3 linked regions of the Arabidopsis thaliana genome follow. The protein of the gene in region 2 interacts with the protein of the main gene of each other region in a pairwise test. Each region holds a gene or a part of one and is shown on either strand. Other genes may lie near its edges.

Region 1 (4,283 bases), on a different chromosome or scaffold from region 2:
CACGGAACAAGAATTGGGTCAAACTCATTGACCGGTCTAAATAGTTTCCTCCTACGTGAGATCCTTTACCCACGTCAACACCATTATATCTACGTGGGCTTTCCACGTCATGTGAAGAGGAGAATCGAGGGTATCACATTTTTGCATCAAGTCCACGCTGGAATATATTATAAAAATTATGTGAAAATAATTTGTACATACACTGAAACACACATGCATTAGTTTAGTATATACAAATATATACATACACATAAAACCAAAAGTATATATATATATGTATGATTGTTACGTGAAACTCCCATAACCTCTTTTTTTCCAGAAAACTATAAGAATTTGAATTTCTTCTCTGTCCAAACAGAAGAACCTTTGTTCTGTTTTTAATTCAATTACCTCTTTGTTTTTTCAGTTTTTGTTGTTTTTTCCTCCCAATATTTGAATTTCTTCCATGGATTTTCTTGTTCATCATACATCACTCATTCCAATATTATTCCACAAATCATCCTTGAAGCCTCGTTCATTAATTTTCTTGCTATAATTCATATTTTCTCGGGAATTTTCTTTATTTTCCCAGAAAGTTTTCGCATTAACATTGGAGATATACAAAGAACACAAACATGTTGCAAGACATGATCTCGTCTCACTCTCACGATCAGCTTTCCATCGTAATTCTCTTCTCATTATTGCTTTCATTTTTATTCATGCAATGCGTAGATGTTTTTGTCTTTGAAATTTTGCTTACATGTATAGATCATATAAACTCGAGTCTAATCTTATAAACTGATTAATTTTTATTCCGTAGTCTTTTATTCGGCAACTACCCTATAATTTCAGCTAGTTTTTCTTTTTTGGTGTAACGTCATTTTCTTCTACTTATATTCCATTTGATCTTCTTATAAATTGCTTCATTCTTTTCGCTTTTCTTTCTTTGTTATTCTCTCCGCACTTCAATTTGTCCTTCCATGCGATTTTTTTTTGAACAATCATTATCATAATTCTCATTGGCATACGATTATTACTTATAAACCAATAGAAAATCGTCACATGATATGGAACAATATTGTTCTACAAAATAACTGTAACCATAATTCACTATATCTATCGTATTTTAGTATAGATTTTTATTCTCATCAAACGAAAAATGCTAGATTTAATCTCTCACCTTGGATTTTATGCAAAATCTACATATTACGTGAATTTCACTAGGAGCATTGTTTGTTATCATGATGGGTTTGTATATGATCATGATCATAATGGGTTTCACACATGTTCTGATATTTTATGAAGTGCCCTTTACTTTTTCTTTGTGGGAAAAAAATCTGGATGTTGGTTCATACCAGGCAATTTTAAATTATTTTGTCAATACGAAAAGGAAATACCAGAATCAGAAAACTTTCCGTTTATAGAAACTCCACTCTTCTTTACTTTATCTTTTTAGCTATTGGAAGTAATTGGAACACTTCTTCTTAACATGTCACATAAAAGAACAGATGCATTTAATCTCTCTTGTGTTGTCCTCAACAAATATTGATAACAAACAAACATTGGATTTGATCAAGACACCAAAATCTTTGGAGTGTTTGGATGTCGAAAAACAGAATCAAAACATCTTACAGATTCTTAACATAGTTAAGCCAGAACAAAATTACTTAAGTATAAATAAATTTCTCTTAAGATTTAAGAACTAATATCTTGTAGCTTCTTATGATTTCACCAGTTCTAATTTCTTGTGACTCAAGCCAAAACCTTTGTTACCTTTTTTTGATGCTTGGCTTTAACGTAATCTCTTCAAAAGATCTTGGTTCATTTACTTTCCATGCTCGATCTAATCTTTGAAACTAACTATTGTTTTTATTATCTTAACAGGATGATATCACGAGCCCTCTTAGTGCTCAGATCTTCGATTTCTGCGATCCACAACTCTTTCAAGAAACCTTTAATCAATCCTCTGAAGTCACCTCTACTTCAAACATTCTTGAGAAATCCGGAAGCTTCCATTCCAACACTAACACCACCACAACAACTGAGAACAGTAACAACAACAACAACAACAAGAACACAAACCTTCAAGACGATGAAGATGACAACAACAACACGGATCTGTCCATAATCTTTGATTCACAAGAAGATTTCGAAAACGATATAACGGCTTCAATCGATTTCTCATCATCTTCACTGCAATATCCAGTCATCGATCATCTCCTCACGGCAATAAGCCAAGACCAGTTTGATTTCTCATCAGGTCTCCAAGTTATTCATCAGCCTCCTAACATTTCATACTCTGGAGATCCTCTGTCTCTATCGGCGATTTCCTCTCTAGCTCCTCCTCCCTTACAATCAGGGGTTTTCGAAGAAGATTGTCTTTCTTCAGTCCCAAGTTACAATCTTGGTTTGAACCCTTCTTGCTCTTTCTTCCGTTCGTCCGGTTTACCGGCGTATATGAGTACCGGTTTATTATCTGCTGAAAGTAATCTCGGTTATCTTCCCGGGAATATTCATGTGGGATCAGAAATCAATAAGCCACATGATCCACTGATGGACTTTCAAGCTGATAATGGTGGTTTTTTTTGTCCGGATTCCATCAAACGTATGTTTAATCCAGAAGATCTCCAGGTAATTGAGTTTTTGTTACAAATATTTTCCGGTTAACGTTTGGTTATCTTTAAGAACCGGTATGGAGCTAAGATTTCCGGTCACAAGACCGGGTTGGTATTCTGATGTGATGCTAACCGGTTTAATTTTGTTGAAGAAGGCACTTGGTGGTGGCGCCGAGAACCAGAGCCACTTGGTGACACCTCAAGCTCATCCAGCATTAGGACCGGTCGATATAAACGGTTTAGAAGACTCAACGTTGAACAAAGTTGGAAAACTCTCCCCTGAGCAAAGGAAAGAGAAGATTCGTAGGTACATGAAGAAGAGGAACGAAAGGAATTTCAACAAGAAAATCAAGGTTCGGTTTTTATTAAACCAAACCGGACTTAACCGTTGTTAAATGTTGTCCCAATGATTTTTTTGGGGGGTTGTAGTATGCGTGTAGGAAAACATTGGCAGATAGTCGACCAAGAGTTAGAGGAAGATTTGCAAAGAATGATGAATTTGGTGAGCCAAATAGACAAGCTTTTTCAAGCCATCATGATGATGAAGATGAAGACGATGTAAGAAAACCGGGTTATTTTAACTCGATTTATATGAATTTATGTGAAAACTAACTAAGCCGATTGGGTTTACAGATGGGAGTGAAGGATGAGGAACAATTGGTAGATTCTTCAGACATTTTTGCACACATTAGTGGAGCAAATTCCTTCAAGTGCAACTACCCAATCCAATCTTGGATTTGAGTTCCAAGTGCAACACCACATATACCTCATGTTTTAACATGAATCTTATAATAGTTACACAAATAGTATTGCTATAGAGTTATGACTTGTATACTTAGTTTTGTCATGCCCCCAACAAGTTCTGTGACTTCTGTCAAAAAAATAAATAATCTAACTCGTATTGAAAATAAATAATGAATAATGGGTTTAGGCAGGTTTGGATGAATAAATCAGTAGTGAGAATAAGGTTGTAATTATGTTACCTAGCAATTTGGAAATTTTGTAGATACTATGATATGTGATGTCTTGTATTTGATAAGTTGAGTTGAATTTTTTATCACCTGAACACTCTATATATATAATCGTCATATGAGTTATTATTTTGCTTCTCAAATCATTCAGATGTTCTATGCATACAAAATGAATAGACCGGTCAAATTGTCATGTCTAACACCTGGTTAGAAGATCTAATTAGTAATTAGATAATAACTATTTGATCCAAAAAAAAGGATAGTAGTAACTATTTTTAAGAAAAAGATGAAATAATTGGGCTTTAATTTGTTAGTATCAAAATGTTGGACTGGGCCAACAGAGTGTTACAGATCAATTATATAATTAAGGCCTCCCTTGTAGGCTACCATTTAAGATTAATGTAAAGCTTAAACGATTGACAACTTGATGCATGCGCAATAAATGATGATCGTACCATAATTTCATGGCCATATATAGTTGCTAAACTGAAAGAAGAACAAAAAGGTTTGTAGTAACTTTGTAATGAAATAATTCGATATTTTATTATGTTGAATAGTTCTTTTTGTTCGTTTCTGAAAAGTGAAAACCCATTTGCTAATTTTTTTTAACTTCTAAGTTCTAACCGAGGACTGTTAAAATATAAATGGCGACTAAGTCAATAACTTCGAACCAAACGTATCAACGGCAAATATTAAAATATAGTGATTTTGACTTTAG
Region 2 (2,836 bases):
GCTTTGATGAACAATTCTTGAGGCATCTTACTGAAGCTGCACATAGACGTTGTTTGCTTCGCAGAAGGGATGGTCAAATATCCTCTAGTCTTGTTTCGTCCAGCGATCCCACTACGATTCATCCTACTGATTTGGTCAATCTTTATCGTCTCTCTGCTATTTCCCATGTTGAACATCAAAACTCAAACCCTTGTCCAAGTCCTGGCTCAATGACTCCATCTCCCGTCTCTGGTCATTCTTCCATTCCTGCAGATAGCAATAACGGATCCAGGTATTGACATACACATAATCAAGTCTGGTTTATTGATAACGAGCTTTCATGATTTATTCGCTTTCCATTTGCTTGTGCTGTCTCTATAACCAGCTTTCATGATTTGTATGGTTTCCATTTGCTTGAGCTGCACAATGCAGATGCTCTTATACTTCCTGTTTCGCTTAGTTACTGGGATTATCGTCTACTGATAAATAATTTAGATGGCTCTGGAATTCTAGACCATGTCTCTTTATTATGCAGCTACTTCTTGGAGAATTGGTCAAGCCTTTAAATTGTTTAGAACTTACCTAAACCATATGTAATATATCTTCATCTTTTCTTGTATCTGTCATCAGAATCTCTCCTGGCCCTTCTCCATCTCGTTCATCTCAAAGTCCAAAATCACCTGAAGCATCCTCGCTTCCGGAAGCCATTAAATCGAAACTAGCTGCTGCTTCTGCAAAGTATGGCTATCTCAATTCCTCTTCATTTGTTCAGAAATTGGTTATAAAAACTGACTGGGACATACATGCATGCCTCCAGGTACAAGGAATCGATCTCTAAAAGTAAACAAGGTCTTAAAGAGAAGCTACTTGCTCGCAATAACTCAGTGAAAGAATTGAGCAAAGGAGTGCAACGTGAGATGAATGCAGGAATAGCTGGTGTTGCACGAATGATCGAACGCATGGATTTTTCTTCAAAACGTTTTGGAGGGTCTGCTCATGTATCAACCTCCACTGCTACTGCTTCTGGATTCAATTTCTCATTCAAAGGGAAACGTGTAGAAGCCAATTCTAAGTCTAACAACAATGGAGACAAAACCGAACCCCAAAAGCTGCAGGTTTCAGACTTCTCCCGGTTTCTTGTCTTCTAACATTTGTATCTTTAAAACATAAAGCTTTTTATGGGTTTTGCTAATGAGAATCGTTGAATTCATCTCAGGGAGGAGAAACGTGCTGAGGCAATCAGAAAAATGGAGAGAGGCCTTTAATGCAAGCGATGTACGTTTCCATTGAATCAACTTACCCGTTGGTCTTCGCATCCTGCATTGTTCAGAGCTCACGGTCTCGTCTCTCGTCTCTCTGTTACCTTTGCGATGCGTACTTTTAGATGGCTAAAATAAGCAACTGAGTAATAATTTTATTACTCGATTTTGACGGAGCCAAAACTATAATATTTATTAATTTCAAAGGATAATGTTTTATGTTTTTTCACTAAGAATTGGATCAGTCCTAATCAATATTGCACTATGAATCTATTTATAGACAAGTCCATAAATAAAATAGGAATTTTGAAGATAAAAACCTAATTTATATATGACATAAAATACCTGAATACTGGCAGAGGAAGGCTTTCAACAGCTCTATAAAAACTCAAGTCATACAAAGTTTTGAGACATAAGATTAGATGGTGAAGAGCAAAAACAAATAAGAAGGCCAAGCCAAAGTACACAAAACGTTGCAAACATAACACGATTGTACCAAAACAAGAAGACAATGACGGGAGAACCTTCTTTATGCATTAGGGGGTGTGGCTTCTTCAGCACGTCACAGACGAAGAACCTCTGTTCTAAGTGCTACAACGATTTCTTAAAGGACGAGTCTGCCAGATACTTGGCCACTTTCAACGTCAACACGAAAGCCGCTGAAGAGGTCACGGCGCAAGAGGCGACGGTACTCGGTAGTAAAGGCGGTTGTGGTGAAGAAGAAGGATAAGATTATAAGAAGAGTAGTAGTAGATGCAAAGCGTGCAAGAAGAAGGTGGGGTTGCTAGGGTTTCACTGTAGATGTGGCCACTTATTCTTCGCGTCTCACCGTTACCCGGAAGAGCATTCATGTCCATCGGATTATAAATCTGCCGCCATTGACGTCTTAGCAAAACAAAACCCTGTCGTCAAGGGTGATAAGCTCTTCAGACTTTAGTCAACCCTTCGATGCTTGTGTTTTTTTCTTAACTTTTTTTTCTCTGCCATTGGTATTAAATAAAATAATTTAGTTCTTATAACTTAATTACATTGTGTTCGATTAGTGAGAACGACAAATTGTTAGTTTGAAACTAGAATATTTATTTTTCTAGTGATTACTCGTTCGAAATATTCGTTAAAACTTGACGTTGAGCGAACATATCTATAAAACAAACAAGATTTAGTCGATTGTTGCTGATTGTCCATGGGAAATTTGTTTGAGTAATGGAAGCATTAAGGCCAAAGAGTTGTTCATCCACGCCCTCCACTTTCCACTAATCTTCCGGGTTGTGTCCAGAGAAACTTCAGGGTTCTCAGCTTCTGGATTCTTACACATAATGAAGTTCATGGACCTTGTTGACCCGATCCTAGTGCATGGATTCAGTGCTGAAATTTAGATAAAGCAATGACGTTAATGTAGAAGTAGAATTATGATTAAGTAGACCTAGGCACCTTTTTTTTAGATGAAATATTTTTGCAAACGTTTATCTCTTTTTATAACAAAAAATTGTAATCATCATTTGTTCTAAATGCAAATGACAGACTCAAAGAAAAAACCACACGATTGTGTCTCACGTTGATTTGGAGAGTATGGAGAGTAAAGTAGGAAAGAAGAGGTG
Region 3 (3,746 bases), 1.6 Mb from region 2:
ATCTCGTCTAATTTCGTTAACTACGTTTTAGAGGCTTAAGGGTAGTTTACAATTTATGTCTCTTGTTGTAAAAAAAAAACATTTACGATATTTACATAATCGAACTTCTTCACTGACTTTTTTTTAAATAAAAAGAATCTAACTGACATCCTCTCTAGACTCAGTTAAACAAAGAGTCTAGAAATTAGTTTAAACTCAAATACGTAACATAAGCCTAGTTTTGGAAACATGTGGACCTCTAGGCTCTAAGTTTTCATTTGTTGTGGATTCTGGCATTTGGCTGTTTTCTAACACACAACTCTGGTGTAACGGTACCATTATCCCAGTTTAAATATGTATAATGCATGTTTATATATATATATATAAAAATTAAAGACTAATGATAAGAAGAAATCAATCAATAATTGATTTTTTAAGTACTAGATTTTTTTCTTTCAGTTTTTGACATCCTAGATTTCCAGAAAAACTTGAAAAACTATAGCTAACATGAACGAATATAGCAAACATTTTTTTTTGTAGGAACGAATTAGTAAACATGAATACTCTGTAATTATTGAGAAGTTAATTATGGATTCGTCTGGGCAATACCCATTGATATTTCCCTTGAAACAAAGATATTTGTAATAAGAACATAAGTACTGGACAGACACACAGAGCTGAACTAGACATGTAAATTATTTACAAATGTTTTAAATAAGTGAAAACGTTGATTTGAAAAATATATTAGAAGATTCATTTAAACCTACATCTAGGATAAGCCTTGAGCAATATGTTTCATATATATAGTATAAATTGTCATACTGATAGAAAATTGCATATGTGTGTGTTAGGCTTTGTAAATTAGTTTCAAGTATGAATCAATATCTATGATGAAGTAAGCACATTCGTACGAAGACGTAAAATGGATATATCACGTTCGAAAGCAGCAACCAAAGCCAAAAGTGGTCACATGGTTTGTTGTTGTAAAATATATATTTTTGGTTATAATTATTGTAGAATAATTGAGACTAGAACTTAATTAGTATTACGATTCCGCTAATTACGCAGCCCTTATCTTTCGAGACTATAACTTTAATATTACGATTCCTCTGATAGTCTAATTATGCATGCATTTTTGTGTGTTTGCGTTTTAGTTTATGTTTTATACGTAAGGTAATATCTATTCACTTACAAATGAAGCGATAAGCTTATAATTTTGTAGCTTGTACCCGTAGACACAATAAAAATGTATATTTATCGGTGTAATGTTTTACTATGTTCGGCAACATTTTAACAACACTTTAGTTTTCAGTGATTATATAACAGCTAGAAATGAACATATATATAGTGTTGATCATTGAAATAAAAACAGCTTTCTGGTCTGAGATGTATAAAACAAAAATAATGGATATTTTATCCCGAAAGATTATGTAGAGATTGGATGAACAAATTACTGGTTGAACTTGAAATTATTGGACTTTTTTTTTTTAAATGTTTTTGGGCAGCTATACGAGAATTCCATGGGTCTTTGTCCACAAAATGTTGGCGACCATACGAAAACATCGTCGACATTCGACAAAGAGAATCTAGTCTTCATAACTAAAATATTTTTAATCCAAAAACAAAAATAACATCCGACGTACGTGAAGTAAAACCAGTGTTTTTCTTCCATCAAATTTTGCAACTATCATAAGTTTTTATATAAAAACGTGTGTTTATCCAAACATTGAGTTGATACGGCCGCTAAATTTTGATATTGCAAATGCATGCATGCGAAGAATTCTCACAACGAGTAGTAAATTAATCAAATATTAACACGAAAGGTACTTTATAATAACTATTACTAAACCGTACTAATATTTTGATAAACATGAATCGATAAATTCTTGTCTAATCATCTGCCAAAGAAACCCAATATTAGAGCGCAGCCTAATTAAAATATTTGTGTTTTGTTTTTTTACCCCAGCTGCCATTGATGAACCACACGATCAAACCGTTGACGAGGGGTTTATAATCTAATCAAACGGTGTAAAACCGGTGAAACACGCGTGTACATACACCATCCCGCATTTGATAATTTTAGATTTTAAGTTTAAAAAATCCTGAGGATGTTGCCTTGAAAGAGTCTCTCATTGACTTGACTCTTTCCTATAAATACACCTTTCCACTCTCTCTTCTCCACTGTCAAATCAAATCCCTCTTCCTCTTCAATTCTCTGTTTCCTCCAAAATGGCTACACCAAACGAAGTATCAGCTCTTTTCCTCATCAAGAAGTATCTCCTCGACGAATTGTCTCCGTTGCCTACTACTGCCACCACCAATCGATGGATGAACGATTTCACGTCATTTGATCAAACCGGTTTCGAGTTTTCTGAATTTGAAACCAAACCGGAAATAATCGATCTCGTCACTCCCAAACCGGAGATTTTTGATTTCGATGTGAAATCTGAAATTCCATCTGAATCGAACGATTCCTTCACGTTCCAATCGAATCCTCCTCGCGTTACTGTTCAATCCAATCGAAAACCGCCGTTGAAGATCGCACCACCGAACCGAACCAAGTGGATTCAATTCGCAACCGGAAATCCTAAACCGGAACTTCCCGTACCGGTTGTAGCAGCAGAGGAGAAGAGGCATTACAGAGGAGTGAGGATGAGGCCGTGGGGGAAATTCGCGGCGGAGATTCGAGACCCGACTCGTCGTGGAACTCGTGTTTGGCTCGGGACGTTTGAGACGGCGATCGAAGCGGCTAGAGCTTACGACAAAGAAGCGTTTAGACTACGAGGATCAAAGGCGATTCTGAATTTCCCGCTTGAAGTTGACAAGTGGAATCCACGCGCTGAAGATGGTCGTGGCCTGTACAACAAACGGAAGAGAGACGGCGAGGAGGAGGAAGTGACGGTGGTTGAGAAAGTGCTAAAGACGGAGGAGAGTTACGACGTTAGCGGCGGCGAGAATGTTGAGTCAGGTTTGACGGCGATAGATGACTGGGATTTGACGGAGTTTCTGAGCATGCCGCTTTTATCGCCGTTATCTCCACACCCACCGTTTGGTTATCCACAATTGACCGTTGTTTGAATTCTATTTTTCTGTTTGGGTCAGCTTGTTGTATGCTGACGTGGAATTATGCTATATCTTTTGCTTATTTTATGTTCACATTCGAGCAAAATTTATTCATTCGTTTATTTGTTTTTTAATACAACTCTTGATATTTCTAAATTCTAACCAATCACCTTATTTAGCGGCTACTGAGACAAAAATCGCATGTAAAGGCGAATCAATATGGAAAGAACAGAGAACACATAACACGAAGCTCCGATCAAATGACTTTTTATCATAGAACGTATTATTTTTCAATGGCATGTAATATGCTCGGATTTATTACCGTAACATCTTTAGCAGTCTCGATTATATCCTATTTGTGACTTAATATTTGAAAGCTCCATGACTCTTTTTTTTTTGCATGTATAAACTCTGACTAATTGACTTTTATAATATCTTGTTTTCTATAGATTGTTTCATTTGATTCATTTCTCATTTGTGACTTCATTTTTGAAATATCTATAAATTTGTAATCAATAATTACAATTAATAAATTAGTTTGGCGGAAAAAGCTCTAATCTTATAATATGGGAATCACGTATATATATTACAATTTCCATATTTTTGCATGGTAATATCTATGACTCTTTTCCTTCTTTTTTTTTTCTTTCTTTAAAACAAAAATGCTATGGTTCTTTTTGCATGGTAAAAGCTTTCCATTTTGA

The links.
Region 1: the proteins of AT4G14225 (region 2) and AT2G33350 interact in a two-hybrid assay, tested with the Arabidopsis thaliana proteins (one large-scale study listed by BioGRID).
Region 3: the proteins of AT4G14225 (region 2) and ERF6 interact in a two-hybrid assay, tested with the Arabidopsis thaliana proteins (one large-scale study listed by BioGRID).

Annotation. Positions count from the first base shown.
Region 1 is NC_003071.7:14,133,502-14,137,784, forward strand, and holds AT2G33350 (CCT motif family protein), read left to right. Parts: upstream 1-1,640; 5' UTR 1,641-1,701; coding exon 1,702-1,776; intron 1,777-1,863; coding exon 1,864-2,610; intron 2,611-2,746; coding exon of another isoform or gene 2,747-2,749; coding exon 2,750-2,947; coding exon of another isoform or gene 2,948-2,989; exon of another isoform or gene 2,990-3,023; coding exon 3,024-3,152; intron 3,153-3,227; coding exon 3,228-3,335; 3' UTR 3,336-3,660; downstream 3,661-4,283.
Region 2 is NC_003075.7:8,197,028-8,199,863, forward strand, and holds AT4G14225 (A20/AN1-like zinc finger family protein), read left to right. Parts: upstream 1-1,749; coding exon 1,750-1,951; intron 1,952-1,999; coding exon 2,000-2,175; downstream 2,176-2,836. Other genes in the region: RHF1A (RING-H2 group F1A), read left to right, coding at 1-271, 610-717, 797-1,094, 1,196-1,213; AT4G14226 (uncharacterized protein), read right to left, coding at 2,398-2,565. UniProt on the Arabidopsis thaliana protein: May be involved in environmental stress response.
Region 3 is NC_003075.7:9,752,284-9,756,029, reverse strand, and holds ERF6 (ethylene responsive element binding factor 6), read left to right. Parts: upstream 1-1,868; 5' UTR 1,869-2,208; coding exon 2,209-3,057; 3' UTR 3,058-3,206; downstream 3,207-3,746.